4 linked regions of the Lonchura striata genome follow. The protein of the gene in region 4 interacts with the protein of the main gene of each other region in a pairwise test. Links are inferred from orthologs where the notes say so. Each region holds a gene or a part of one and is shown on either strand. Other genes may lie near its edges.

What was found.
Region 1: the proteins of LMO2 (region 4) and heterogeneous nuclear ribonucleoprotein M interact in binary tests that used the Homo sapiens proteins (3 or more experiments, as listed by UniProt). The link is inferred for Lonchura striata from reciprocal best matches to the Homo sapiens genes LMO2 and HNRNPM.
Region 2: the proteins of LMO2 (region 4) and STAT1 interact in a two-hybrid assay, tested with the Homo sapiens proteins (2 studies listed by BioGRID and IntAct). The two-hybrid records come from large-scale screens. The link is inferred for Lonchura striata from reciprocal best matches to the Homo sapiens genes LMO2 and STAT1.
Region 3: the proteins of LMO2 (region 4) and TAL2 interact in a two-hybrid assay, tested with the Homo sapiens proteins (2 studies listed by BioGRID and IntAct). The link is inferred for Lonchura striata from reciprocal best matches to the Homo sapiens genes LMO2 and TAL2.

What each region holds. Positions count from the first base shown.
Region 1 is NC_134630.1:6,569,062-6,576,404, reverse strand, and holds the start of heterogeneous nuclear ribonucleoprotein M, read right to left. Parts: upstream 3,001-7,343; 5' UTR 2,748-3,000; intron 2,647-2,747; 5' UTR 2,631-2,646; coding exon 2,553-2,630; intron 1,722-2,552; coding exon 1,527-1,721; intron 1,210-1,526; coding exon 1,056-1,209; intron 136-1,055; coding exon 86-135; intron 1-85. Other genes in the region: heterogeneous nuclear ribonucleoprotein M-like, read right to left, coding at 3,500-3,564. UniProt on the Homo sapiens protein: Pre-mRNA binding protein in vivo, binds avidly to poly(G) and poly(U) RNA homopolymers in vitro. Involved in splicing.
Region 2 is NC_134610.1:30,434,750-30,442,694, forward strand, and holds the start of STAT1 (signal transducer and activator of transcription 1-alpha/beta), read left to right. Parts: upstream 1-4,927; 5' UTR 4,928-5,010; intron 5,011-5,199; 5' UTR 5,200-5,401; intron 5,402-7,409; 5' UTR 7,410-7,419; coding exon 7,420-7,547; intron 7,548-7,945. Other genes in the region: STAT4 (signal transducer and activator of transcription 4), read left to right, coding at 1,956-1,982. UniProt on the Homo sapiens protein: Signal transducer and transcription activator that mediates cellular responses to interferons (IFNs), cytokine KITLG/SCF and other cytokines and other growth factors.
Region 3 is NC_134642.1:81,251,856-81,259,195, forward strand, and holds the start of TAL2 (T-cell acute lymphocytic leukemia protein 2), read left to right. Parts: upstream 1-4,321; 5' UTR 4,322-4,433; intron 4,434-7,340.
Region 4 is NC_134608.1:54,470,795-54,478,076, reverse strand, and holds the start of LMO2 (rhombotin-2), read right to left. Parts: upstream 3,002-7,282; 5' UTR 2,995-3,001; coding exon 2,958-2,994; intron 2,719-2,957; exon of another isoform or gene 2,660-2,718; coding exon of another isoform or gene 2,653-2,659; intron 2,550-2,652; coding exon 2,372-2,549; intron 1-2,371. UniProt on the Homo sapiens protein: Acts with TAL1/SCL to regulate red blood cell development. Also acts with LDB1 to maintain erythroid precursors in an immature state.

The sequences.
Region 1 (7,343 bases), on a different chromosome or scaffold from region 4:
TGATCCATCCTTGAAACCACAAATTCTCCCCAAATCAGCAGTGCATTCCCAGGTCAGTGGGAATGGGGAATGGGAGTGTCCTCACCATTTTGACGTGCATGGGTCTGTCAAAGAGCAGCTGCCCATTGAACATCGCTGGGGGTCGTTAAGGATCATTCTTCAAGCACTGAGTGCTCTCACAGGGAGCACAAAAACCCCTCAGAAAATCCATCTCCTCAGTTATTACTCACAGATTATCCCAAATCCTTCTGCCTTCTCCAAAACTAAAATGCCTTGAAATCTAAAAATACTGAACATTAAAAAAAAGGCTTTTTAAAATAAAAAAAAAAAGATAAAAAACATATTTCTGGGTAAGATTAAGTTCAGAAAGAGATACAAACCATAACTCTAAGTCAGCCCAAGTGTTTAAATGCTTCCTCAGTCATTTTATCCATTGAAGACAGGACAAAACAGAGAAAAGCTCCACAGCAACACCATATTCTGAAGTGTGCCATGACAGTGAATCTTCTGCCCAACTCTGCTCCCACAAGGTTTTGTGGATGCAGTGCAGAAGGGAATTAACAAATAGAAACTTTGGGAAAGGAAGAGGGTTTATTTTCCTCCTTTCCATACCATAACCAGGAGTTGAGAGAGTAATACCTGGAATTTTATTGCTGTTGGGTTTCTAGGTGGCAAATCATTGCTTGGCCAGTGGAAGGAAACAGGAACAGGAAAATACCAATTCCGTGTGCCTTGGCACAGGGACTTTTTCCTTTTCAGAGAATTGCATTTTAATATTAATTGCAACCTAGAGACAGAAACTCATCTCGGATTGAAGTACATTTATCCACGTAGGAAAGAGAATTTCCTTTGCTAAGGATCCTGAGCAAACTGCAACAATTCCTTCAAGATGGAATTTTGCCTCTGTTTTGCTTTTCCTTCCATTTTCCATCTGCTACAACTTGACCTCCCCTGCCCTGGATACAATATCCTCCTTTGGAATACAGTTCCCACTCTGCCCTGCTGCGTTTCCTGGGCTCTCTGCCCCATTATTCCCAGTTTGCTGCCAAGGATACAGATGGCCTGCACGGCCTCGATGGCCTGCTCGAAGGTGACAGTGCCGATGCCCCGGCTCTTGCCGTCCTTGTCCTCCAGAATGTCGGCCCGGACCACCACCCCAGCCATGCTGAACACCTCCTTCAGCTTCTTCCAGCCCACCTTGTAGTCCAGCTGGAAAACAGGGCATTGTTGGAAATGCATGAGATTTTCATGAGAAAACAGCTTTAGTTGGCTCCTGTCCTCCTCTGGTATTGGCATTAAAGTTGTCAGAGAGCCGAGATAAAATTCAACCAAAATACGAAGTTTTGTTCAAAAATCCCCATTAACAGGCACTGTGGTACAACTTAACTGAGAACCTCCTTTGCACAGAGAATCAACAGGACACAGAGGAGCTTTTCCCGAATTCCCAAGGCTTTTCCTTCCTGAGATTTGCCCCAGCTGAGAGGTTCCCACTGCTGGATTTGCAGCAGGGGGTGCCCAGCACTCACGTTGGCCACGAAGACGGTGCTGCCGAGGCGGCCGGCCTGCAGGGCGTGGATGATCTCGTTGGGGATATTGGGGTTGTTCAGGATGCTGGGGGGGATGTTGATCATGCCAGGGCCGCCAGGGCCGGGCCCGATGCCCATCCCTCCTGCTGCCATCACCTTCTGCATGGCCCTCCTGGCGTGCTCCCCGTCGGGGTCCTGGGGGACACACACACACCCTCAGATCAGATCCCACATCCACCCACATCCACCACATGCTCCCCGTCGGGGTCCTGGGGGACACACACACACCCTCAGATCAGATCCCACATCCACCACGGGCAGTGCCAGGGCTCCCACAGGCACAGACAGGAGTTTCCCTTTATCCCAGGGCATCTGCTCCCTAAGCACTCCCAGCCAACTGCTTCCCTTTCATTGTCAGTCAATTTATGTTATTTTAGCCAACACCCAGCACACTATCATTTAAATGATACCTTTATTATTGATACCCTTTAATAATAAGTTATTCCTCTCCAGGCATTTCCCTGGTTACCAAGTTGTTTATCCATCATTAATACCAACAACAAACCTCTGTTACACTGTTCCAAACCCTAATAAACCCCCAGTGCCACTGGAGAGGTCTTGGAATGAACTCCCAGGACTGTCTGTCAACAGCAAGGCCACTAAAATGGAAATACATCTTTGATGGATTCCAGGAAAGAGCTGATTCTATGGAATTGTTGGCGGAATCCATTCATTCTGATGCAGAATTCAAAGGGAAGTTTGTAAAGAACAAACAGAGGTTTCTGTGTCAAATCATTAACAAAGGAACTGCAATTAAAGCCAAACTCCTGCTTTGTCCTCACATCAAGTTTAGTCTTGATAATCACAAGTCCAGCAGTGGTTAAAACTATCAGAAAAAGGTTGACTGGGTTTTTTTATCCTATTTAAGTCCTGCTTTCTGCCCATTATCCTCTGAGTCAGCCCTAAACCTTAAACAGGAACTCCTGCTTCCCCCTCTATCCCTGCCAGAACAGATCCCCTCCTTACTTCTTTTACTTTCAGGGGTCTCCCACCAAGACTGTGCTTGTTCAGAACTTCAGCAGCCTTTTTCATGCTCTCCTCCATCTTGAACTCAACCACCCTGTGGGGACACAAACACAGCTCAGGACGTTTTGTTTGAAGAAGTCTCCTCAGATTCCTGATGAAATCAGATTGAACTTGAAAAATTCAGAGTGAACTTACGCGCATCCCTGGTGAGATGATTTCCCAGGGCAGTCACATGGAGGAGGGAAGAGGGGAAAAAAGAAAGTCAGTGATAGCTCAAATCACACACAGATATTTTATTATTAAAGCCAAATCACATCAGTTAAGCCCTAGCAGCAAAAATAAATGTAACCTTACACAGGCAAGCCTCCAATAGTGGAATTCCATAATTTCTTATGCCTTAACAGGATTAACCTGGGGTCTCTGAGGTTGTAACAAACACTAAATCCCGACTCTCCAAGAAATACCACACGCTTCCTGTGACCTGCTCTTCCCTGGCATACAGCAAAACCCTCCACACTCTCACCCTAAATCCATATCCTTCAGGACACTTAGGAGTGCTCCTATTGTCTTCCCTGATCCTGGACTCAAGGCCCATGAAGGCACTGAACATTTACATTTAGGAATTTATCTCGCTCTGCTGGCCCAGGACGTGGAGTTTGCAGCACCTGCTGTTGCACCCTGGCCCTTCCAAACTCAGCCAACCACTCGAGTGACTTTTCCAAAGCACAGGAATATTCCAGAGCCCTGTCCTGCCTGCTGGGCTCCAGGGTCACACGGCCAACGCCAACGGCACGCAGGGAACAGCTCCTGATTGCAGAGCCCACCCCACCTCCTCCCATCCCACAGCACTCCTGACCTAGAGCCACTGCACATCCACACTCTGAGCCTCCCTGGCCTTCTGTCCAGCACACAGAAACATTTCAGGTAGAAAATCCACAAAGAAACTCTCAAACACTTACCCTTGACTTTCCTTCAGCGTCCATTAAGAGCTCCACGTATGTTACCTCACCAACTACAAATCAGATTCCAGACGACACAGATACCAAGGGAGAAAAGCCAAGAAAACAATGGGAATTTAGAACAATCAACAACCGTGTATGGAGCCTCTGCCTTATAAGAAAGCCCAGAAACACTCCATGTTCTCTAGACCACAAAACTGGACAATTACAGGTATGCAGTAAAGGCTTCAAGCACTTCGATATGTTCTTGGTTTTCCTCCACCTCAAAGCCAGAGATTTCCACAGTTCCCTGGATCTCCAGTGCCCACTCGTTACCTGAGGCAATCCAAACCCATGGGAAAGGCTGCAGGAACAAGTTTCCTTCAGTTGCCACAGGATGCAGCCCTGGCTCCATAATCCACAATTTCAAGTAACTTTTTTTTCTCAGGATTTAAGACAAAAAAGGAATCACACTGAACCAACAGATCAAGAGATCACTGCCTGCTATTTATTTTAACATGTTTTTGTTAAGTTACAATAAATTCTATTTTAGCATTAAAATCTGCTACATTTGCTCTCAAGTCAAAATTGTCAACAGCAAAAGGCAAAAGACAATGGAAAACTCCACCTGCCCCTTTCCTCACAGGATTGGGACTGCCTCTCTAGGACCAAATAACCCTGGCAGGGACTTCCAGAAAACCACTACCCAAATGGCTGCTGCCTTTGAAGGGACTGGCATACAGAAGAATGGAATCAACACCTTTTTTTTTCCCTTTTTATTTTTCCTTTTTGGTTTTACAAGTCCTAGGGTTTAAATTTAAACTAGGAGGACACCAAGCTGCATTATCTGGACAGTGGAATGTTTTATTTGTGGGAAACCATGAGCCAGTTGAGTATGAATAGTTTAACTGGAGCAAGGAAGTGGGGCTTCATAATATTCTGCCAGGGACAGAGGGAGGTGTCCAGCCTGACCTCCCCCAGGCCCAGCAATTTACAGGACACTGGGTATCACTGTGGAAAACTGACACCCTGGAGCTCTCTTGAAGCTGGAAAAAAAAAAGGAATGCTTAACAAAACCACTGATTTGTAATCTCCATTTCTTATTTTAAACAATACTTTAGCAGTAAGAGTATTCCAGCCAGAGAACAGGATGAACAGCTCTGATCCACTCCTGCTTTTGGAAGGATAATGTTTGAGGCTGGAAAAGGCTGCCAAGTCCCTCTGAAAGGGACTCCACTGGAGTGTCCATTATCATCCACAGCTCCAGCAGCTCCATCCATGTTGGTATCAAGCCTAACAAGGAATTCCAGCCTGTAATCCCTTTGAGCTCCTGCAGCACACATGGGATTGTTCCCAAGGAGTCCCGGGGGGGATTCAGCGCTGCCATGAGGTTCTGACGCCATCCAGCTCAAACAGCAGCAGCCAGAGTCCAAGCACACCTGGGGCAGGGATGCAAACAGATTCACCAGTTCTTCCCAGGTGAGCTCCACTCCAAAACCTCTCCGAGCCAAAGCTTCCAGGTCTGGCATTCCCTGAAGCTGCAGAGCCCCCGGAGCGAGGGCTCTCCTCTCCCAGCCACTTCACCTACAGCTCCTCACAAACAGCTCCCAAAGGAGCTTGCCAAGCTTGAGGATATCCAGTACAATTGAGCATCTGCTCTTGTAACCAATCCCCGACTCTGAACCACAAGATCTCCAGGAATCTCTTGGGAAGTTGAGTCTGTGCCAATTTTGCTCAGAGCTTTCTGCTGGAGCCTTACAGACACATGAAAATCCAAATATCCAGCCTGAAGTAGCTGCTATGCTTTAAAGGAGATCTGAACTTCCTGAAGAGCCCGGTTTCAGAACAGCAGGAGAGGGGAATGACACACTCAGTGCAACAGCTCTGAGCCAAGACAGAGCCCAGAAACACTGCCATGAAAATGCATTCATTTCACCTTAAACTGTGTAAAAGGAGCCAACCCAACCCTTCTGCCAGGAGAACATCGTCTGTGACTGGCAAAGGAAATATTTTTTTAAGAAGCTAGGCTGGATCACATTTTATTTGGAGTTTTGGAGTTTTTTTCTAGATCCCAAACCACAGGATGCCATGGAAAAGTACCAGGAGCAGATATCCATGTGCTAGACCAGGATAAATGCCCAGTGATCCTGGCAAGATTCCCTTCTGCCAGAGAACAGCTGGATTCTGTCAGGGAACATCCCATGGCCACAAGTGGAGAAACTTCATCCAAGCACAAAAACTGTTACTTCAGGAGTTTCCTAAGGGAGGAAATGTCCAAAAAACACTGGCTCCTAGTCACTGCAGGTTTAATTAATCAACACATTCCCCATGGTGTCTTTAAGACTTAATGTAGAGGAAACTGATTTATGGATTTATTGAAACCTCACACCTAAAGTTTGAAAATGCAGCTTTTCCCAAACCAAGAGACTGGAGCAGAATTTACTGCAATAACCAGAAATCCAAACTGAAGGAAGCTTCAGTGTTATTTATAACAGTCATTATTTTTAATCCTCTTTAAAACTTTGTATCACTTCCCAAAGTTTATCAGTACAGAAAATGTCAATGTTCAAGCTGGGCTGCTCCAGCAGAATTCCAATACTCTGCAGGGTCTGAACAGGAAGCTCAGATCAGTATTCACAGGGTGACCTGAGGCCCTGAAGACACATCTGGGAACTCCCCAGAACAAGCTCAGACAGAAATAACAACTTTAGGTTGGGCAATTTGATTTTAACAGTTTGTGACAAACCAAAGAGCTCTGAGAGGTGTGAAAGATGCAGAGAGGGAAGGGGGAGCAAGCACAGAACTGGGACAAGGGAAATGCTCTGTAGCAGTTATTCCTTGGCCTCCAGGGCCAAAAGTAAATACTAAATATGGAAGGAAAACCCCAAAGTGGCTGGATGTCTCCTCATCTTCTGAAGAACAAGTGATCCAAGAAGATTAAAAAGCTTCACACTCGCAGTGTGAGGCAAAGCAGAGCTGGCCACAGTTCTTCCCTCATTTACAGGTAAAAGCTTGGGACAGGCAACCCCTGAAAAGTTAAGAGGGGAGAGAAGAGGAGCAAGTTTTACACATGCAAAGCTTTGGCTGAAAAGGCAGAAGGAAAACCTTCCCAAAGCAGAGACAGCAGTCAGCAGTTCTGTCACAGATGGGGAAAGGAAACTTCCCTTTTGCAAGAGAACACCCAAAGTGGTGATTTAGGCTCTTAAAGAGCTCAGGCAGCAGAGGGAGTGAAAAGCTCCCTGCAGCCAGGGAAGGGCTGAGATTCCTTGGAAAGATGGTGAATGCCCAAGGGAAACAGAGCAACTCATCAGAGACTTCAGCAAACGGAAGGGGGAACAGGCCAAGGGCAGGACAGCACATTCCTTCCCCATCCCTCCCTCCCTGACTCCCCAGAACTCCACACTGTGACCAAATCCTGGGGACTCTGCAGTGAGCTAACACCTTGTGTCTGCCAGCAAAACGAGGGAGTTCCAAACAAGAACATCTCTTCATTCCATTACCAACATTCCCACTGCATACCTGTAATTGAGTTTCTCCAACCAATCCACTGGGATGCCCGAGCCACGGCGTGAGGAGAGAGAGAGAGGTGGCACCTGGAGCAGCCTGGCCGCTCCCAGGCTGCAGAACAGCAGCAGCTGCTGCACACACGGCACCTCCCCGAGCTCCTGCTGCTGCTACAGCCCCTTCTGCACGGGGCCCAGCCCTGCAGAGCCCTCACACACCCAGGGTTTCCCCTTGGGCAAGAATTCCACCTGCTCCCAGAGCCTGGGACGTTTGGCCTGGCGTTCTTACGCTTCCGAAGCAAGCATTCCAACGGGTCGGAGTTTTCCTGGGGCTTGGAACTGCTCTGCCT
Region 2 (7,945 bases), on a different chromosome or scaffold from region 4:
CATATTTTCTATTAGAAACGGTACACGACGCTGCAAGCATCTTGAAAGCACTGGAATTGCCTGACACGCTGGCCAATGAATCATGAATGTCAGAACACAAAGATCCCAGAGTTCTTGCACAAATTAAGGCTTTACATTGGCAAATACATGCCACGTATACTAATTCTCTGGACAGCACAAAGGCCTGGACGTGCTCAGGGGAGCTGCCCAAGGAATAGTATAATTTCCAATTCAGCAAACTTGCACAACTTTTTCACACTGCAAGGTTTTACGTGGGGTTTCAAAGTGCAAAATTAAAAGTCAGCTAAAACACTTTCAGCAAAGAAAACTAGTATTAGCTTAGTATATAGAAAGGTTAGGAAAATAACATCATGTTTTTTAAAAAAATCCCTCTTTTCCTTACTCACTCGAAATGACGTTCTGAATCATCATGGCTCAGAGTCCTTAGAGCAATGATATATAGCCAGGTGGGAATTTGTACAGACTTTTCTCAGGAAACACAGCAGTGGTTTGACTCTAGCAGGTTTAGAATAAAATTTCCTTTTTTAATACTAGCCCACCATCCTTATATTACCTTGAAGTGATTATATATTTAAAAGCTTGCCAACTTCCCTTCAAATGCCTCTCTGTAAACACTTCTCCTTACCCACAAACAGAACAAAACTAAACCAGAATCCTGTTTGTGATTAGAAGAACAGTTAAACTTTATATACAAATAGATGAGGTAATACATTAACCTGAAAATCCACTCAAGAGCAAGATATCTTTTTTATTCTTCACTTATTTCTATGATAGCACTTGTGATAAACTAGCTCTTTAGCTGAAAATGAAATAACCAGCCTGAATTAAAATTCTGAATTAAAACCTACCCCACCCAATCCAAGAGATGTACTCTCTTATTTCTGTTTTGGTTTATAACATGTGGAAATGGTTCTGGCCTCCTCAAGTGCACTTAGGAACAATGCACACATTTGCTTTCCTGAATTTTCGTCAGAGTAAAGAATAAATGGATTCACTTTCAGTTAACATCAACCTCCAAACATTTTTGGTTTCTTCTTGCATGCACAGTAAATCTCAGATTAGCTCCATTCAGAGCTTCAAAATAAGCTGTGACGATGGCCATCATTCAGGGTCATAACCTGACAAAATGAATGTGCCTAGTTGCAAACTGAAAGTGTTAAATACAATTTTAAAGGTACCAAGATGAATGGTTCAACGCTGCTAGATGGCAAGTGGTATTTCTGTAGGCTCTTACTAGAAATGTTTTCAAGTTCTGCTAGAAGTTGCATGAGAAAAAATAGTTTTAGAAGATTTTTAAAGAATTCTTTCCTTTTCAATTCAATTGACCTTGCTAAATGGAAATGAAGGAAATATGGAGGTTTTTTCTTTATCAAATTCACAAAACAATCTACCCTGCTGAAGAGCTGGCTTAGTATAGCAAGAAGACAATCTGCACTATTAATGCAATACTTTTTCTTCGTGAAATGCCAATAAAAAAGCATTGTGTGAGATACAGAAAACAAGAGTTAAATCTGCAGCAGGACAAAATATCCTGCAATTGACTCAGTCTTAGCAAGATATACTTTCTGCAGCCTTGCTGAATTCCCTTCTATTCCCTCCACCCTGTCCAGCTTCCATTACCCATCCAAAAAAAACAAGACTCCAGGAAGAACCCTGACATACATATCCACAGGCTTCAAGAACCACAAAAGTTTATACAAAAATAAATACCATGCTTATTATTATTGCAATAGTTTTCTACACAGTATCTTCTAAAGAGCATTCTTCTATTTTCTAAACAACTAGAATCAGGATTTCAGATCCTTATCAGTTTTTATGACATTGTCAAAGTGACTTTGCAGTTACCTAGAGCCAGAGAAAGTTTCATTTGCAGTTTCTTTTGAATGAATAGCTGTGAGTGCCATGAGACTAATTCTGTCCTTCTTTTCTTCTAGCTGAGTTCTCCTTACTCAACTGACTGAAGCGCACATACTAGAAAAATCAGTAATTGTGGGAACATTGGATGGGTTAAAGAAGTCATAATCCTGTCACCTCTGAAAGTCAGCTTTTCTGGAAACCATGATGTTATTCTTAGGCCTCTTTCTATTATCAATAACACATAAACAATGAATTTTCTCCCTAGGGAATACAAACAGCCTTTTGCAAGTCACATTTGGTGTTGTCATTGAAAAAAGACCAAATCCTTTCTGGCTTGGGAGTCATTTGACTTCAGTGGGGTCCCAGCAGAGATAACTTTTACTTGCTAATTTAACTAATTTCCATAGAATTGCTGTAAATACGAATGCATAAGAACAAAATGTTTTGCTTCTGAAGACAGTATATAAAGATAACTAAAGACATTAATGTGTTTGGAGAAATTAGGATCTATTATATTAAATACTTTCTGCTTATGCATAATCTTATACACCACTGATTTAGATACTATTTCAAAGTAAAGATTTTTGTTCCCTGACTTTGAATGTTCCAGAGGTATCTGGGGTTTGCTTTACTTCAAAGATGAATTGCCTTCAAGATAGATTTTTATCTGATACCACAGCAGAAGTTGTGGAAAGCAGGTAGGGAAGGCTGGGGAGAGAAGGGAGTTCCAGAAAGGAAGCAGATATAAAACTTGTGGTGTTAGAAATGCTGTCTCCATTTCTCCACTGGAAAAGAGAGTAAGTAAAACTTCCCCTCTCACAAAATAGTTGCAAAAGCAAATCTGTTTGGGCAGGAGATACTCCAGCAAAAATTGTTAGAAAGTCTACAAATAGAAGATCCTGATCTGACACAGTTTGGATGCTAATCAGTCAATGGCAACAGGGAAGCAGTTTTAAAAAACAGTTACTGAAGAGCTGCAGCATTTGCTGACCACCTGGAAATTTGTGCTCCGTGACAGGATATTACAGGCCCGTCACAGCCTCACTTAATAAGCAGGACAACTAGTTTCTGTAAAAATAGTAAATTGCCCTCTTTAAATACTCCGTTTTTTTCTTTCAGGTGTGTTTACTGCTCAGTTTGGGTTGTTTGGTTTTGTTGTTTTAGTTTTATTTCCCCCAGAGTTACCCCTAAAATCGCTGTTCATAGAATAACAAACTGGCAACTCCAAGGCCACTGTATTTCACAAATCCATGTACAATCAGGATGCAAGCCTTGCCTGAAGAACACATGAGTAATGCATGCAAAGTTCTTAAAACACAAAACTTGAACAATTGCACCTTGCTGCTTTCTCAAGCAGGTATAAATGAGACTTCTGTGATGAAAACTCCTTGAATCGGTAAGACATAGATTTACTTTCATTTCTTCTTTCATCCATGCTATTTACTTTAGTTGAGAGTGAGTGAGCGGAAACAAAGTAATGAGGTATTTTTGTGATGCACAGAAGTAGATTTCAAAGAAACAAACGCATCTCTGTTCATTACACTGAGTGATTCAAAGCAAGCTGCACGTAAGTTCAGTAAGCATCACGTATAAAATAAAACACAAGAGCAATTCTGTATATAGCTTGGTAGTATCTGTAACTTATATAACCAGCATGAACAAAATCAGATTTTGGCTTCAAGTTGCATCCGGACCTCTGCGGATTTTTTTTCAAGGCACAGCAAAAACAGTCTTGCTGCCTTTTGGTTGACCTTAAACTGAGCTACAGACAGTAACACATAATTCTAAAGCAGGAAACATGACCTCCCCTAACATCAGCTGTTGCGTGCCTTTTCATTCTAACCTCTTCCCATAATCTTAATACAAACAAAACGGGGGATACCTTTTAGTTTTGACCATCTGAAGTTCATGAGAAGCACTGTAAGACAAGATCAGACATGGCGTGCAAACCAGTCTCCTTTTTCTTTCTTTCCTGTTCTCTATGCAAGGCAACCCTCCAAAACTCTCAAGTATTAACTTCAGCCCAACATAACTGGTGTTTCTGAACAGCATCATGGATCAGATTTTGGCATGACAGCTCCTGCTATTGCTTCAGATCAGATTGCTGCATAGGGTCAACTTAACATTTTGTTGAAAAGATCCGCCTTGAGATCATTTCACTGCTTTAAAGGAACACTGGAATAATTTATCTGTAGGATGAATACATACAGACCAAGCCTCCTTCCTTTTAAAAAAGTGAGAATTTTGTCCTTATGCCATGATGAGTAAGAATACAGCTCTCCAGTGAAACGATGGTGTGGAGGAAAATCACAAAAAAGGGATGCCTAGATACTACCACCAAAAAAAAAAAATTTGCTTTTAAGTAGTTCTACTAACTGTCCTTTTGCTGTGTTTTGCGGCAACAAAGTAAAAATGTAATTGTTTTAGGCTTTGTCTTGGTGTGACGCTGTAATGATCCTAATTAAAAAACATGAAACCTGTCAGTTACTTTCTTCCATTGCTTTTATTCATAGCCATTTTTATAGATCTACTGCTGCCTAGTATTTCACACCACGAAGCTTACCAAACAGATCTACTATTTTTGTCATGAAGTAATAACACCTGGCTCCTCCATCTGAGGAGGGAAGGGGCACAGACTACCCTGGAGAGCTGCAGCAAAGCCTGGCCTTCAGCATCCGCTCTTTGCCGGCTTCCAACACCAGAAAAAACCCAAAAAGGCTACGCTGGACCAACAGACAACGACATGAATGGACACTATTCCTGCGAGCAGGGCTTGGGGTGGGATGGGAACAGCGCTCAGCCTCCTGCAGTTTGTCGGCGCTGGGGCGGGCAGGGCGGGAGGGAAGCGGCGGCTCCCTGAGGGCAGCTGGGGCGGGCGGGAAGCGGCGGCTCCGTGAGGGCAGCTGGGGCGGGCAGGAAGCGGCGGCTCTGTGAGGGCAGCAGCAGCAGCAGCAGCCGCCCCGCCCCGCCGCCCTCAGGGCCCCGCACTAGTTTCGCTTTCGCCTTCGCCGCCTTTCCCAGAAGTCACGTGACGTGCCCGCCGCCCGGGAACGCCCCCGGCCCGCCCCCGCGCATGCGCGCGCGGCTCCCTGAGCGCAGCCGGCGCCGCGGCAGCGCCGAGCCGGAGCCGAGGTGAGGGGAGCGGGCGTGAGGGACCCGGGCGTGAGGGGCCGGGGGATGGCGGGGGGAATGCCCGGTGAAACGAAAGCTTGTCGCTTCCTCAGACTGCCCCTGCCCGCGGGACGCCCACCGAGTTTTGCGCTTTGGTGTACTTGCCCTGGGGAAAGAGAGGTGTCTGCTAGCCGTCTTCATTCCTGACAGGGACGCTCCGGCTGCTCTGTCGTCTGTCGCATCCGCTCTCAAGCCTGGCTCTTTGCTCGCTCTCCGCAGCTCACCCTCTCCGACGCGTCTGCAGAGCTGCCCGGAGCGCTGGAAGCGGGCCCGTGTGCCCAGCACGGCGCTGATCCCGCTGATCCCGGTGATCCCGCTCCTCCGGCGCCGCGGGGCAGCCGCCGCGGAACAGGTGCGCTGCTCCCTCCCGGGGAACGCGGGCACCGGGCCGGCCCCCGGCCATGGCAGGCGAGGAGGTAGAGGAGGGCCAGGAGGGAGTCCTGGGCTGCATCGGGCGGCCAGCAGGTCGAGAGGGGTGATCAGCCGCCTCTGCTCTGCCCTAGTGAGGCACATCTGGAGTGCTGTGCCCAGGTCTGGGCTCCTCGGTACAAAAAACACGAGGAGCGACTGGAGAGGGTCCAGCAGAGGTCACACAGATGATGAGGGATGTGGAGCACTCTCTTACAAGGGGAGCTGGAGCTGGAACAGTTTAGTCTGGAGTAGAGAGACTGAGAGGGGATCTCATCATTACATATAAATAACTCAAAGGCAGGTGCCAAGAAGATGGTGACAAACTCTTTTCATTGGTGCCCACTGACAGGATGAGGAGCAGTGGACATGAACACAAGTTCCACCACGACATGAGGAAGAACTTTACACTGAGGGTGGCAGAGCACTGGAGCAGGTTGCCCAGGGAGGTCATGGACCTCCCTCTTTGGGACTGCTATAGCACACTCAAATGCTGTGTTAGCTGTAATCTGAAAAGCACACAAATCAAAAGCCTCAAAGCCCTCACTTTAAACATAGCATTTTTAATTCCTTTGCTTCTCACACCTAGCACATGCCACTCAGCAGCTGAGGGCACTGGCATATAAAAACAAAAGGATTTGGTAGGAAGGGGCATAGAAGACAGTCCTTCATCCTGATGCTGCCTGTTCTTTTGGATGGGTCTTATAAGCAGTCATTAAAAAACAAAGATGTGAGTGGATTTGCATCTCATCACCCATATTCTCAGCCTGGGCTGTTCCTTGGCATATCTTTACATGCCATTTCCACTACAAGCTGATAACCTGCAGCTTAGAAGGCTAAGTGATCTGCCTCTAGAGACCATACGTCAGAGCTGAAGCCACTCTCACAAAAGTGTTAGGACTGAGAGAAGCCGTTCTGCACAGTCTTAGTTCATTTAAGCACCCTCTATCTGCTGCACAGGTTGCTTGAATTTAGCCTGAAAATATTATCATGAGAACTCAAATGCCGAAAAAAATATCTTTCCAGTACTTCTCCATTTAAGGTAACTTGAGATGTAGTCCATTTTCAGAGCAGGCAAGTGTGGACACGAATAGCAACTGAAAATGGGCACTTAGAGGGCTCTTTAATTGTACACTCACACTTTTGGTGCTGGGGAATGCATCTGCACAAGCAAAAGGTGATACTCCGTGATCAGGATCTCAATTATGCAGAGTACAGGTATCAAACACAGAGGTCCTCATTCCCATATGTGCTAAACAAGAGAGCAGTAACACTAGCAGTACCATAAACGCCATGAAAATGGGTTCAGAGGAAAAGGAAAAAAAAGGAAGCACCACACAGCTACTCACTTCCCCTCCTCCCTGCATGGTGGGATGGGGAGAGAATCAGAAAGGTGAGGCACTTCATGGGCTGAGATAAAGATAGTTTAACAGGTAAAGGCAAAAGCCATGTACACAGGAAAGCCAAAGGGAGGAGTTCAGCCATCTCAGGAAAGCCAGGCTCCATCATGCCTAACAGTGGCTTGGGGAGACAAGCACCATCATGTAACATATCCCCTGTGCCTCCTTCTCCTTCCCCCAGCTCTATGAGCTCGATGCCACCTGGTCTGGAATGTCCCTTGGGTCAGCTGGGGTCAGCTGTCCAGCTGTGTCCCCTCCCAGCTCCTTGTGCACCCCCAGCCTCCTCACAGGTGGGGTGGGGTGAGGAGCAGAAAGGGCCTTGATGCTGTGTAAGCCCTGCTCAGCTGTAACAAAAACATCCCTGTCTTACCAGCACTGCTTCCTGCACAAATCCAAAACAGCCCCATGCTACCTACTGTGAACAAGATAAACTTTATCCCAGCCAAAATCAGCACATCCTCCAATTTTGTCAATGTTCATTAAAACTTAAAATTAGTTATTTTTCACCAGTTCAGTCTGAATACTACTTAAACACTGACTTTTTTTTCACAGCTTCCTCAGAATGTCTCAGTGGTATCAACTACAGCAGCTGGATTCCAAGTTTTTGGAGCAAGTTCACCAGCTGTATGATGACAGCTTTCCTATGGAGATCAGGCAGTACCTGGCACAGTGGCTGGAAAACCAGGATTGGTAAGCCAAGGAATTAAATTAGGCTTTGGGTTGTGTGATAAGCAGTGCCCTCAGAAGTGCAGTTTCAGGCAGCAGCAGTATGCTGGGGAAGCAAGCTGCTAGGTGATCCTTTGCTGGTAGGATGCTTCAGTAGCTGTGTGGGTGCTCTGTGTTCCTGCTCCTTTTAGGACTTTCTAGAGGGGCCTGACACCTGGAGTTAGTGTCCTTGCTCATAATGCTCTCAGTGGTCCAGAACAAAAGTGGCTGTTTTAAGACCAATTAGTTACTAACCTTGGTAGCATCAGTCTCTCACTCCCCAAAGACTCCGAACTTCTGCCAGGCTTTCTGTGGAGTGTCTTCTCTTTGAGGAGTGGTACAACATGCATATGCATCAGGGTCACTTTGAGGTTCCTGATGCC
Region 3 (7,340 bases), on a different chromosome or scaffold from region 4:
GTTGAGGGTTTTGCCTGCAGTCATACTGGAAATTAAAGCTTTTGGTCTTCTGACAACTTTTTGTCATTAATTGTAAGTTTGTTGTAGAAGTGCACCTATGGCAAAGACCCTTTGGGGCTTTCAGTCTGTTCAGAAAGGTTTTCTTAAATTCAACTCCACATTTCTTTGAATCCCTGTTTTGAGTGATGCTGATGTGGTTGCCTTATTGATGCATGCAACCTGGCTGTGCTTCACATTGTGTGCTCCTGAAAGTAGCAGCTGCTTATCCTTTCAGATGCCTTACTTGTTTTCCTCTATTTTAGGTGATTTCCAATAACTTTGAATGTCGAGGTGCATCTGTGTCAAGTGGAAAATGAGCTGTTTGTCTTTCTCCTTGCTCCCAGTGAAAAGGTTTAGAGGCACATTAGGTTTTCAGTCTCTTTATTCTGTGGCTAAACATTTTCTTCAATGCTATCAGCAAGTTTCAGCATTAAAAAGGAGGAGATTTTTGGCTTCTGGAATTAAGCCAGAAAGTGTGGCCAGAATTTAAAGCACCCCCTGATGTGTTTTGTTAACACTAATAAGAGATTCAAAATGCTACGATAAAGCTTTAGATGATACAAGTTTAATATTTCAGCAGTCTTCATGCAGCTGCTATTCTGAGCCTCAAGCAGCCTCCTCCAGCTCAATATACTCAAAATCTATTAATCTAAATTATGATTTTAAAGGGCAGGAGCCCAGATGTGCATAATTGTTTCTTATTGTTCCAATGTGTGCAGCAGGGCTCTGAAGTCACAGTGATAACACAGCTGTGGGTTTGCAGCCTCTCACTGTCCTTTTCCTGCCTGTCACTCTGTGTGTGCTGCTTTCATCAGGCTCACCTGGGTCAATTCACAAAACAGAAAAAATTACTCAAATCCAGGCCCATCCTTTGAAATCTCTGCTTGTATTTAGGCAGGATTCTCTTCCATATCCCAGTCACTTGCAAGTCAGAGTTTTGCTAGAGAAATACAGAGTTTGAGGTCTGGCCCAGTGGGAGCCATAAACACTTGTTTGCCCAGCCTCTCTTGGAGAGGCTTCTCTTGGATCTGGAAGTTGTGCAGCAGGATAAAACCTTTTACTCCTGCTGGCATATCACACAGTTCCCTACACCAGAAACAGCTTTTCTTCCTTTTAGGAAGAGGAACAATGAGGGTTACGCCCCTAGTTTGTTTCAGGGGCTGGAATTTTAATCCTGGCAAGCCAGAGTTCAAAAAGTTTTGAGATGTTCACACTTTGCAGCCACCCACATGTTCTTGACCTCTTCAAAGTGGCCAACTCTCAAGTGTCCCCCTTCACAGAGTCACACGTGGAAATGCAGTTCATAAGACAAGTGTTCAGTCTGCTGCTGCATCCAGGTCAAACAGTTCCTGTGGTGCAGAGGTGAGTGGCTGAAGTGACCTGCTAATAACGCACCTTACAAAATCTGTTTGGTATCCCCTTCAATTTTCATGAACTTGTAATGGGTGGCTGCTGAAAACCAGACTTGTTGCAGATAGAGAATTGCCCCAGACTCCAGGGAAGTTGTTAGGATGTGTCCCAGCAGAGATTTTTGTGAGGAGGAGCAAATCCAGGGTGTGATGTTGCTTCCACAGTGCTTGTTCCTGGCTGAGTTATACTATCCTGGTCTGTGGAAAAGACCACATGGTCTGGATTGTAATGTGTTCCCCCTGCTGCCAGGTCACTGACAAGTATAGAGAGGAAGATGAATAAGACTGGTGTGGTTCATGGGTGCCAAGTAATCACAGCTCAATAGGAAACTTAATAAAGACACAGTGAAGCAGTCCCTGATGTATGACCCCTTCAGAGCATTTTGACAGCATGAAAAAGACCCTTGATGCTGGTGTAAATATCAGCAACCCTGTGCCATCTCATCAGCACTGCCCAGTGCTGGCTCAGCACCTGGGACCTCCTGCCCAGTGCCTGGCAGTGAGTTCTGGTGTAACCCAGCAGTGCAGGACAAAGTTCTGTCATGTCTGCACCCTCTCCTGTGTGAATACATGAGTGGAGATGAAAAGCAGTCCATCCTACCCATGTCCCTGCAAGGAAAGAAGCTTTCCTGGTTGTGTATTTTGTAGTGCTTTGTCTGGACAGGTTTAGAAAGCTCCAGGCAGTGAAGTATCGAAGCAGTTAGGGATCAGGGGCTTCAGTTCCCTTCCCTTTCTGGACCCACAAGCCCTTTCCCTGCTGCTGCCCACTGGCTGGAGCATCTCAGGGCAGGTTTTGGGAACATAATAGGTTGGAGGAAGTAACAGAGAGGAGGGGCACTCTCCAACTCTCCAGTGTAAATTACATGGAAATTAGGCTTCTGTGAGGCCAAGGGCCCCTCCGGAATAGGGCCTTTAGTTAACATAACACTTGTGCTAAATGAAGCGGTTGACACAGCTTTCAGGCTGTAGTGCCACTGTTAATTTACCGTGTGAAAGGGCTGAACCTTCCTTCGAGTTCTGCAGGGAACAGCTCTGCCCTGGCAGGGACCCGAGGCTCATTCTCTACAGAGAGCGACTGCATCATTCCACTGCTGGCTTATTAATATTTATGGGCTGTCCTGTTAGCTGAAACATTCTCAGTGCTGATAAAAACCCAGCAGGTGAGCACTGCTGAGCCATCTTTCTGTTTGGGGTGAGCTGGTCTGGGTAATAGCTGAGCTTTCCTGGGACCTGGCAGAGGGAAGTGGTGGAGTGTTTATCCTGGGTGCAGAAGTTTTCCTGCCCCATGAAAGTGGGGTGATGAGCTGGGACTTCTTCTTCCCCCCCATTTGTTCTCCCCAGGATATTTCCTGCTGCTCCAGGGAATAAGCAGGCACCTTGCTCTTGTTCTCCCCATTTGCTCATCCAAATGTTCATCCAAAGCAAACTCCTAGCACTTAATTGAAAAGTGGATGGAGGAGCAGAAAGGACTGGACAGGTCCCAAAGGGTCTGTATGACTGTAGTAAGGCTAGACGGTCTGTGCCAGGGTCAACTTTATGACTATTTTCATAGAAACAAAGACTGGTTTGGGTTGGAAGGAAAATTTAAAGGCCACCTAGTCCAACCACCCTGAGCTGAGCAATATCTTCAATTAGATTAGGTTGCTCAGTGCCCCATCCAAAGTGGCCTTGAGTGTTTCCAGGAGTGGGGCACCCCCCACCTCTCTGGGCAACCTGTTCCAGTGTTTGACCTATAAATGAGTGGTTACCCAGGGCAAGGGTGAGGATGGATGGACCAGACCCTGTCATGGACACAGACACATGATTAGAATGGGGTTATTCTGCAGGTTTTGGGTTTTGCACTCAGATGTCACCTTGTTGCCTGTTGTCCTGGCTCAGAGAGGAAGCTCTGGGGACACCCCAGGAGAAAGGAGTCTGTGTTTCACTGACCCTACATCATAGCCACAAGGGTATGGAGCTGACTCATCTTTGCTGTGAAAGCATGAGTTAAACCTTCAGTGCACTGCCTGGGCCCTGGAATGAAGGGCAGGCTGGAAAAGGTGTGAATTCACACAGCTCCTGCTCTCACACAGAGTGAGGCAGAGTGGCACCAGGGCTTGGGGCAGCACTGGGACAGCAGCAGCTGTCACGGTCCTCTGGCTGCAGGAGGTGCCAGCTGTGACTCCAAGTGAGAGGGATCTTCCACTAAAAAAGGAAGGGCAGGATCCAGTTGCCTGCATATGTTCACCCCCCAGATACACCTCACATTCTGTCAGAGCAGAGCAGGACCTTCCTCCTGCTTGGGAGTGCAATAAATACCCCCAGTCTGTTCCTCAGTTCCGAGCGATGCTAAGGGGGGCTTTTGAAAGAGCCATCTCCATTTCTGGAAACACTGACAATGCCAGAGCTGGATAAATAAGTAAAATTAAACAAACCAAACCAAACCAAACCAAGACAAAATAAAAACAAAACAAAACAAACAACCCAAAACCCAAACAAACAACAAAAACCAACCAACCAACCAAGCAAACAAAAACCACAAAAAAACACAAAAAACCCCAAAAACCCTACTTCCCAAACAGCAGCGGAAAAAGAGGGGAGAATTAGACTATTGCTAATGCTGGTTCCATCCTTTCCTGCAAAATTCTAGCCAGAGTCACTGAGATAAGTGACTAAAGCTGGTAAGGATGGCTCCAGCTACCACCCCAGCCCCAGAAAAAGGCAGGGGGCATGTGGTGAGCAGAGAAAAGGCAAGACAGAGAGAGGATCTCCTGGGAGATGCAAAACATGCTCCCTGGATTGCCAGGACTAGTGGTGACACGCGCCAGACAAAGGAACTGCTTCTCTATAAATGAGGCAGCCGGACCAGCTCTAGGCTGATTCCAGCAGGAGCAAGCTCCGTGGCCAGGCGCTGGAAAAGCATTCGGGAGAGAATCACAGGAAGCGCCTGATTTTGCTGCCTGTTCGCCCCCTGACCAGGTTCCCAGAGGCACAAGTACCAGAAAAGTAAGTGACAGTGGCCTCCTCTCTTTACAGCTGTACTCCCCTCTTTTGGGCTTATCTTGCAACTTCCTTAGGAAAGCCAAAATTTCCCCTCAAAGCTGGGTATATTCTAAAAGGAAGGGATTTCAGCAGTGGCCTTTCACCAGTTCTCTGGATTTTCATTTCTTATTGTGGCACCTCTGGTTCTTATCATAAAAAAATTAAGAATAAGGCATCTCATCTGACAAACAGCCACTTAGAGGGAGCTGCACTTCATCAAGTGAAGAGGCAGTTTGTACCTGAGCTTTCCAAATTTCTAGTCCCCACAGAGACTCAGTGAATCAGACCTTACCAGAAGAAAATATTGATTGCTTTCACTGCTTTTGAGAGAAATGTTGGTGGTGAGATGTGGAGGAAACAAAAGTGATTTTATAATCACTTTTCTTAACTATTCCTATATTTTCTTACTGCTGCAAATCAGAGTTATTGCACTGGTGCAAAATAATTAGACAGAGAGTCACAGATCCCTGAGTTTAGAAATAAAACTTAAGTGAATTCTACAATGCTGTTTGAAATTTAAAACAAATTCCTTGCAAAAGCACAATTAATCATGTCCTAATTATTCACTAGACTGTGTGAAAATTCACTGACAGTGTCAACAGGTAAAAGTGTAAGGAATAAATTTTAAATTCCAATCCTCACATATTTAAAAATATCCCCATAGTTTACTGGTCGTCTGTGTTACAGCTGATGCAGATGTAAAATATATAGTAATTTGAATTTTCTGCAGTTCAACAGTGCACTTAGGAGGAAAAGATTAGCATTTTTTTTTAATTTCACTTATCTTGTTAAATATTAGTAACTCTCAGATTTGTGAAAAAAACTTTTGAAACTGCCAATATAAAACATCTTTCTATTTCCAGGGGTAGCCTTCTGCATAAAACTATTTTTTGAGAAAGTTAATTAACAGCAAAACATGCATGTTTTTTGAAGTAGCTGTCTCTATCCTTCTTGATTTCCTTGTAACACTACAGGACAATATTTCATTTTCAGAATCTTTTTCCACCACACATTTCTAATTATTTCACACAGATAAAAAAAAAAAAAAAAAAAAAAAAAAGGGAAAAAACAAGCCAAACAAACAACCAACCACAAACCTAACAAATCAGAAAAAAAACCCTTAAAATAAATGCAGTTTGTTTTTACTGCCTGTTTACCTAAATCTTTACGGTAGTTGTGATATGAGCAGGTGATCCAAGAAATGAAGTTCTCACGGAGGCAGCATGCCAGGCAGGAAATTTGTGGACTAAACAGAGGTGGCTGAGGCAGGGATGATCTTTGAGCTGCTGTTTCTCTCAGGAGCAGCCCCACAGAAGTTAAGACATCCGGGGCAAATGGGGTTGTGTTCCTTGTCTTGCAGTGGTTTGTGTCTCACTTTTGGCAGCTGCATTTTGCCATGGTGGCCACGTTCCTCTGTGCTCAGGGTGACCTCTGGTATTAGGCACAGCTGGCACTGGTGTGAGCTGAGGTGGTCAGCAGCCTGGTGGGAGCTTTGGCAGGAAGACACGGCTCGGCACTGGATGCTGTCAGACCTCCAGTCTTGCTTTGGCTGCAGTCACAGACAGATTTGCCACCAGCCTCAGAGCAGACCCAGAGAGAATGCAAAAGCAAATATTGGCTGGGGGGACCATGTCCAAATCTAATATCTATGTTCCCCCTGATGTAAATGTCCTTTGCATTGGCTGGATTTTCCCTTTTCTACTCCCAACAACTTCTCTAACAGTGTGAGCTGCTGCAGACTGCTCTCTGCAGAGCTGTAAGACATGTAGCATCTGGTCCCACTCTTCACTTACATCCTTCTTCCAGGATGTGGACTTCCCTACATACACAGGCAGGGCAAATTTTTTCTGCTATTCACAGCTGCCCTCCTGCCTCCTTGTGCCAGAGAGAGGGTGGCAGAAATAAATCCTGCAATGAGATGGGAGAAATACAAGGTTGCACACTGGGTCTGGGGCAGGGGAAAGAAAAAGAGACCTGAAGAACAGAACCAAACTGTTTTTCTTCTCTGTGTTTACCTTAAAGCACGGGGAGGGTGTCTCTATGTGGTATTTGGGCTGTTAATTTGGCAGAGACTGTTCTTAAATGAAACCTACTGGAACTGTCATTCAGGCCAGTGAAGCATTTTCCAAGAGAGACTCTCATATTCTCTGGAACAGAAAATAACACAAGTGCAACTTCAGCAAATAAAGGCTAAACCTTCTGGCAGAGTGTTCCTTTCTCAGCTTAGCAAGCTGTTATGCCCCTGCCAATGCACTGGAACTCCATTTAGCAAAAGCTGTTGCAGCCCATGAGTGGGTTTATTTTTTTTGTGGTGTAATTCATCTTTCTGCAAAGAGCCATAAAAAGTATTGAGCAGAAGAGAGCTAGATGAAAAAAATCCAACAAAAAAAACCACCAAACCCCCAAAAAAGATCATTCCCATGTGCAGAGTAAACCTTTTCTTGAGCTACATCTCTATCACTATTGTCAAGGTCTTGACCATATACTTTAGTGCTCTCCCAGACGCCATCTGGGTGGCAGCCCATTCATTGCTTTGCAGATCTTCCTTTCCCAAGGCAGGCCTAGAGGGCATGATGATACATTTTGCATGCTGTGAAGTCTTATTTTCTCAGAAAGCAGAGAGCTCTTGGCTGCTGAAGACCTGAACCCTTCAGGAGGGCAACTGGATTTCAAAGCTCAGCAACCCAGGAGCAGTACTGTCAGGTGAAAGACCTGCTCCTTGGGACAGGCATCGTGTGTAGTGCAGTAACCCCAAACATGAAGAATGACTTAGTCCTGAGACCTTCACACAGCTGCCTTTGAAGACTCCAGTGATTTCCTTTCTCTAAAGGTTCAGTGAGAGCACAAGTGTGACTGTGAGAGCTTCTGTAA
Region 4 (7,282 bases):
TTCTCAGAACAGCACGAAATTAATAAACACAACAGCTGATTCTGTTGCCCAACTGGTTTAAGTCTCGCTGCTGATTTTAATAAAGCCAGCATTTTACCTCATGTTGCTGCAGGACTTCTTTTTTCCCTTAGCCAAGGACATGAATCCCCTGGGATGGGTCTGTGCCAACATACTTCAATTATCTGGGATTTACACATCCATGAGTGAAAGAAGACACAAATCTTTATTGTGATATTAGCACTGACTCTTTATGCACCTTATTTTGTTCCTTTTTCTAAAAAGCTTGGAGATCTAGGATAATTCTGGTTAAAGAAGTGAGAATTTTCTTCAAAGCCACTTTCTTAAAGACTTCTGTGTCTTTTGGGGTAATTTCACAACAGCAAAAAAAATTAAAAGAACAGTGCCTGAACTCAGTTTTGTATTGTTTTGGGCTTCACCCAAATGCCAGAAAAGTAAATTTAAAAAATCTACTGGATCCATCCCTTAAGCATTTGCTTAATTTCAAACCTTTAGCTAGTAGAGTGGACCCCAAATTTTTTCATATTATTGGATTAGTGCTCCAGCACAGAGTCCCTGAGCAATTTGCTTCTGTCATTTGTCTGTCCTCCTGTGGGCTGCTGGGGGCAGAGGAGACCTACACTGATGAAGAAGCTCTGCTCCCTGTTTCCAGCAGGCAACAGGAAAAAAATTGTATTACTCCTGCTTATTTACTGGATCAGCAGTTTTCTGGGCAAAAATTACTTTCTTCAGCAGGGAGAAACGACCTCTGGTCAAAAACTTCTCGGCTGAGAAAGTGATCCTGGAGTTTTATTTAGGCAAGCTGAGCTCTGAGATATTATCTGGTTCTATTCTGTCTGGTTTCTCCCTTCTAAGTTTAAACTGCTGTGCCCTGCAAGCTATGTCGTAACACCTCTCTCCTGCCAGCTCACCATCCTGTGAGTTTTCATTAAAATCATGGGGAACTCATTATTAGGCCCTATTTTTTCCCAAATTTATTCTTTTGGGCCACATACTCCCTTTCCTAACACGTGGGCTCCATGCTGAGAACTTCTGAGAGCTTTCCAGTAGAAGGAAGCACACATCATTATCCTTCATTTTCTGTTATCTGAAACTTTGAAGTGTACCCCAAAATGTTTCATCTGAGGGGTGTTTGGGAATCTCAAGCCAGGTTTCACTGAGAGCCCTAAGCTCAGGAACAGCCCAACGGATGTTTATGCAGAACAGCATTCCTGGTTAACTCATTAGGCTTTTGATGTCCATGGATTTCTAAGCCAGCACTTAAGCCACCAGAACACAAGGCAGGTAAATAAATAAGGATTAAAAAAAAAACTTTGTAGATGAAAGCTGGACATCATTAGGAGCTGAGATTAGAGTTTCTTAAAAAACAGCATAAAAGAAAATGTAACATGTAAAACATCATGGAATGAAGTGATGTAATCCCCAAAAGCAGCGGTTCCCATGTGCTCGTTCCGGGCTCCAAGCAATGGCATTTTTAGTATCTGACAGGAAACAAACCACGTATGACTCAATTTACTGAGAGCGATGTTTTAAGCGTTATCTAGAAACGGAGATTTTATAATTTATTTCTTTTTTCTTCTCTCTTACCGCGATCCCGGACAAGCCTCAGTGCAGTAAATTAGCACGTTCAGGGCTGAAGTGGCCCTGGGTCTGTGCCGAGTTACCATCCCTGGGTGTGCAGCAGGGACGGGACAGCGGGAGCACCCCCCGGGAGAAAGCCTGGATCTGGACACGGAAGCCGGTCCCTTCCCTGAGTGGGAAGCCCAGAGAGGGAAATTCTCATCTCCTACATCCCGTCCATCAAGTCTGTCTACATGCTCTTAGCATGCACCCAGCCCCCACCAAAGCTTTCTACGAGCTTTTGGAAGTTGCATTACGAAAACGTGGAAGTTGGGCACCCGCAGCTAACAGCCCTGACCTTTCACTGATCGTCTGCAGCGACTCGGGCAGATCGGGGATGGGGCAGAGAGGGCCCCTCGGGATGGAAAACCTGAAAGCTTGGGAAGCGGGACGCTCCCTCTCTCGCCGAGCATCCCCACCACTCCGCGGTGGGATGAGGGAGTGGGAGATGCCCTGCCCGGGGGGAATTGCGCCTCTCTTCTCCCGGCTGCTCTTCCCTCAACTTGGGAGGCTCTCCGCAAGCTTCCCCACGCCGTCAGCCCTGCGGGGCCGGGGCAGCCCGGTGTCCTGTGCAGGGGAAGGGGGTCGGAGCTGCGGGGGCTGCCGCCGAAGCCCTCCGGGGCTGCCAGGCGCACAATGCCGGCGGCGGCTCCGTCGGGGAGGACGGGTGGCACCGGGAGGCGAGCGGGGACGATGGCGAGCGGGGGACCGGGCAGAAGAAGCGCGCACTTACTCGGAAGGATCGAGGCTTTTCCTCTCGATGGCCGATGACATTGGCAGGGCCGGTTCCTTTGTGGCGTGCCGGTGGTGGGCTCTGCCCCCGCCGCCCCCGCAGAGGCTGTCTGCTCGCGGAGCCTTGTCGCCAGCCGCGCTGCCCCGCCGCCCCGCGATGACATTCACAGGATTTCCTCCTGCAGCACCGAGACAGAGAGAGACACACAGGGGCTGGGGCTGCGCTCCGGCCCCGCACAGCCCCCCCCACCCCGGCCCCGCACGTCCCACCCCGGCGCTGACCTCCCATCCCCGCCGCGCTCCCCCCGCGCCCCGGCCGGCGGGGCCGCTCCCGCGGCGGGCGGGGGGCGGCGGCCGCGGCCGCCACCGCGGCTCCGCGCCCGGCGCTCAGCGGCTCCGCGCGGGCAGCTCCGCACACGCTCCGCGCCCGGGCGGCAGCGCTGCGAGCGGCGGCAGCCGCATCCCCTGGATTATTATTACTCCGTGGCTCAGCCCCGGCTCTCTGGTTTCATTTCCTTTTTCCTGATCACGATTCAAATACAATAGAAGGAAATCACACTTAAAGAGACAGCTGCCCGTTTCTTAACTGCACTCCTGGGGATTCGGCAATACAAACAGCAGCATCACGACTCGCTGGGTTCCTTAAAGAGACAGAGCGGGGCTCCCCAGAGTCAGGGCTGGGGGCTGCCGGGGCGTTCTCACGTTATTATTATTCCCTTACTAACGCTGTCTCTGTGCGCAGGCAGGTGGGCGACCTGAGAATGATCCCAAGAGCTGGAATAAAATAAGCGCCTGGTTCCGGATTGTGCCGCCTTCTCAGCTGCACCCAGGAGCGGCACTCGCCATCCCTCTCCTCGTCCTCTCCCTCTCTGACACGAACATGCACATGCCCACACGCACCCATGGGTTCGCGGGGCTCTTGGAGAGCCACAGGTAAAGATCCCGAACATGATTTGTCCACCCAGAGTTCAAACTGGTCAGCTCAGTTGTGTCTCATTTACAGACCGAGTGAACATTTGCTTCCAGACACCCCCGGATTCTTGGCAAGCTCTGTAACAAATTTACACCCGGGCACCGTGTGATGCTAATGAGCTATGAAAGCCGGCGAATACCAAGTATCGATCTGTAATTAATCCAAGACACGCCAAAGATGGGGAAAGTCTTGCCTGGATATTTCTATTTTTCCTCCCACCCTTGCTCCTCTCCATCAGCACAGCACATCCCGGAAAGGACTGATTTACAGCGCCGGAGTGAAAACTATTGCAGCAATCCGAGCCTTTGCCAGGCTCTGTGGCATTAGACGATGGCCCTTGCTGGAGGCAGAGTTCTGGATGGGATGAACAGCTTGCCCTGTTAATTCCTTTTAAAAAAGTAAAGAAATATCTGTAATAAAGCCCCGGAGAGTAGTGGTAGCAGCAATATTTCGCTTCTATATTAATTCCCACAAGAAAAATGTATTTTATGTCTATTTTTATGACTACATTCTCCTTTTTTTTCCCCGCTTTTTGGCAGCTGGGGATATAATATCTGCAATACATTAATGAGCCTGATCCAAATATTAGTAATGTCAGCAGAAAGACTGTTATTCTTTCAAGGGACTTTGAACCCAGCTCTTGAAATACTTTAGAGCTATCACTGCTTACTAGAACATATCTTTCTTATTCTTTAAACGCATTATCTCCAATGCATTTCAAGCTATTACAACAGGACAGTCAGTCTCATTTCTGTTGTAGGAAAAGGCTCTTTTGTTAGGTTTTCACAGACAGGACTAAATTATATGATGACTATTTAATTTCTTGCATGTTTACCCTGTGATCAGCAAAGTAAAATAAATGTAAATCTTGCCAGAAGACTGAATAGATAAACTATTGTAAGACTTCATGAGAAAAAAAAAATTCTGCCAGAAACTTCACTTGGCTATAAAAAGAACCAAAAATTTAATTAAAGGCAACTCAAAACCATGCAGGACATCAAACATGTTTAAAAAAACCCCAAGACATTTCTATGAGCTTGGCTTCTCCAGTGTCTAAAGTTTTAATAAAATATAAACTCTTAAAACATAGAATGCAAAATTTCCCTGATGATTGGGGTACTCATATTCTGATAAACTGCTCGTGGAATAATGTGAGCAATTCCATAATGCCAGTAAATGTTCTGAGCTCAGAAGTTGTGCACGCACTGCAGACGTGCTGGCCTGCTGCCCCTCTTCTATTTATTTTCCCAAAATTCACAGGAAATTAATTTATTTAAGACCTCTATGCCTTTGTGTATCTAAAAGAGTTCAAAAGTTTTGGTGAGGGACAAAAGCATCAACATTGGCACATAAGGAATTACTTAATTCCCTAGAAAAACAACATCAAAATGAGGATTTACAATACATGGTGGCCAGCGATTATTGAGAAAAAATAATTTTTAAGGTTTCACAATTCCTTGCTTTGCTCAGACCACCTCAGGTCTGCCAGATAATGAGATATTTCTCATATTCATAGTTGAGCATGTGCACTGATGGACAGACCAGGAACATTCTCTGCATTGCCAGATCAGTCCCTTCACTGCAGAAAAGCTTTTCTGCATAAAAACAGTGGAATAATGTGCAATATTGAAGCTGAAGAGGACAATTTGTATGTGTTTGACTTTTTCAGTCAGATCAAGAACAAACTTTCCCAGATGAAGTCAGATCTTTAAGCACAGAACTCGTGATAGTGCTGGGATCACTCCATAGGCCTGCAAGTACCATCTGTCTCCTCATCTAAAGTAATTGTAATTAAAACTGAGATTATTTCTTGTTTTTTCTCGATCCTGTGAAAGAGAGATGCCAAGCAAAGTCATACGCAAAGGAAAGTGAAGAAAAAGCTGGATTTGCAGCAAAAAGCTCAGCAAGAAGGTCCTCAGAATGCTGACCAAGAACTGCGTCTTCAAATACATCTGAGGAACAAAGCCATACACCTCTTTGGGAAAATTCCATTTTCATTTATTTGGTTTACATATAATAAGCTCTTGCTCTGGACAGTGACATTTGGCCTTTCCAGCTGAGGACTTTTTGTCCCAGCAGAACAGATGACCAGCAATCAAGAAGGACTTCTTTTTCTTCACTTTGAGCAAGTCCCTTAATACCATTTTGCCTCAATTTTCCCATCTGCAAATGTTTACTTTCCTCAGCAGAATTGGCTGTTGATTTACTTTTGCCTCCTGCTGAATAACGTTCCCAAAGACAAAGCGTTATTCAGTGCTGGAATTGGTGGTGCCGACATTTCCTGCCCAGGCACAAAAAGACCAGCACTATTTTTAGTGAGGGCTTTTCTTTCCATTGTTTCTTTCTTTGTGAAGCTGCATTTTCCAGTGCTCTTTAGTGTGGCTTTTTGTGTGTGCATGTGTGTTCATTGATTGGAAGTCCCGAGGGATGAGTTTTGGTTTCAATTAACTTTTATTAATAAAGATCACGCTATAGACTAATTATTGGAGCATGGCTGGGGTCAAATCTGCTGTTAGAGACTACATTTAGCATTTGGGGCTTGGAAAAATGTGCCATGAGTAAGTCAGCTGGACTTTTCTGGATGTTTCTCAATAAGAATGTAATGTAAAGCTGCGTCATTTCTGTGAGTGGTGTAATCTAAAGGAATAGTTCAATGTGTCTGTTTCCAAAGAAACATCCTCTCTTGCACTCAGGGAGTATTTTCAGCTTGGTTTTGGAAGGCCAAAATATCATCACCACTCATCCTCAGGTTGTTCCTACCTTTATTCCTTTGGTATATCCCAGCTTTATCCCCCTCTATAGCTTATGGATACTATTGAGCTATTTCAGGTCACCCTCATTTAGAAAAGTCTGTATTCAGTAAGATTAACTTTGCTGCCCTCAATAGCCAGTAATGCTGGTTGCCTAAAAATGCAGTTTATGAAGATTGAAGTCTCTGCATAGATGGAAGAATTAAATCTTGGTGATGGTGGCCTAGATTTTCTGTTAATGCTTCTGTGGAAGGGAAAAGTCAAGACCATGACTAAAGGTGAACAATTAACAGGAAAGGTGGCATAAAGGAATCAGGATTTCTGTAATTTGGGCTGTCTGCTGCTGCTGAGCCACAATTTGGTGATAGAATCACTGCTCCACTCCAATCCACCTATTTGCAAGACTCCTCCTCTTTCCCACCACACACTGGACTGAAGCCTTGACCTGCCAGCCCCTGAGATGAGGCTCTGAAGTAATGGAATTTTGGGTTGGTTTGGGTTTTTTGAGCCTAAATTTGACACCACAGAAGGAGAACCTTGATCTCTCTTAAAGAACACAGAATATTTGGGGAGGAATTTGGAGGCTGGAACTGGGGGATCTCTAAGGTCCCTTCCAAGCCAAACTGTTCTGTGATTCCATGATTCTGTATAAACCAGCTGCTGCCAATGAGGTGGGATTGTGCCACTGGAGAACCAATGCTATCAATATATGATGAGTATAATGAGTATCAATAGTTACTCATTTCACCACAATGTCATATTAATGGCATGAAGGGCACCACATAATTCAAAGACAAAAAAAAAAAAATTATTCCCTTTTCATGAATCTGGAAATTTTGTTTCAGCCAGTAAGTTCTGTTCTAGTCGGTGTGCTCTCCACAAGTGCTGTTTTGATTTTGTTGTTTTTTTTTTTTATATAAATCCCTCCTCATCATTCTTCTAATTAACACATTTTCTAACCTCCCTGAGGACAGAGGTGGATAGAGAGGATAAGGAGCTGTCACTGAGTGATGACCACATGACTGACTTGATTATACTTTGGAGGCTTTTGGTGAAGTGTGACTCAGAGAACTTACAGACTTCTGACCAAGGACACACTTCTCTTTTTGGGGCTCAACCCTTCCTTTGAACTGGAAGAAAACAAACCAGAACAATAAAAACCACACTCAGGGTGAGGTTTGCCCTGGGA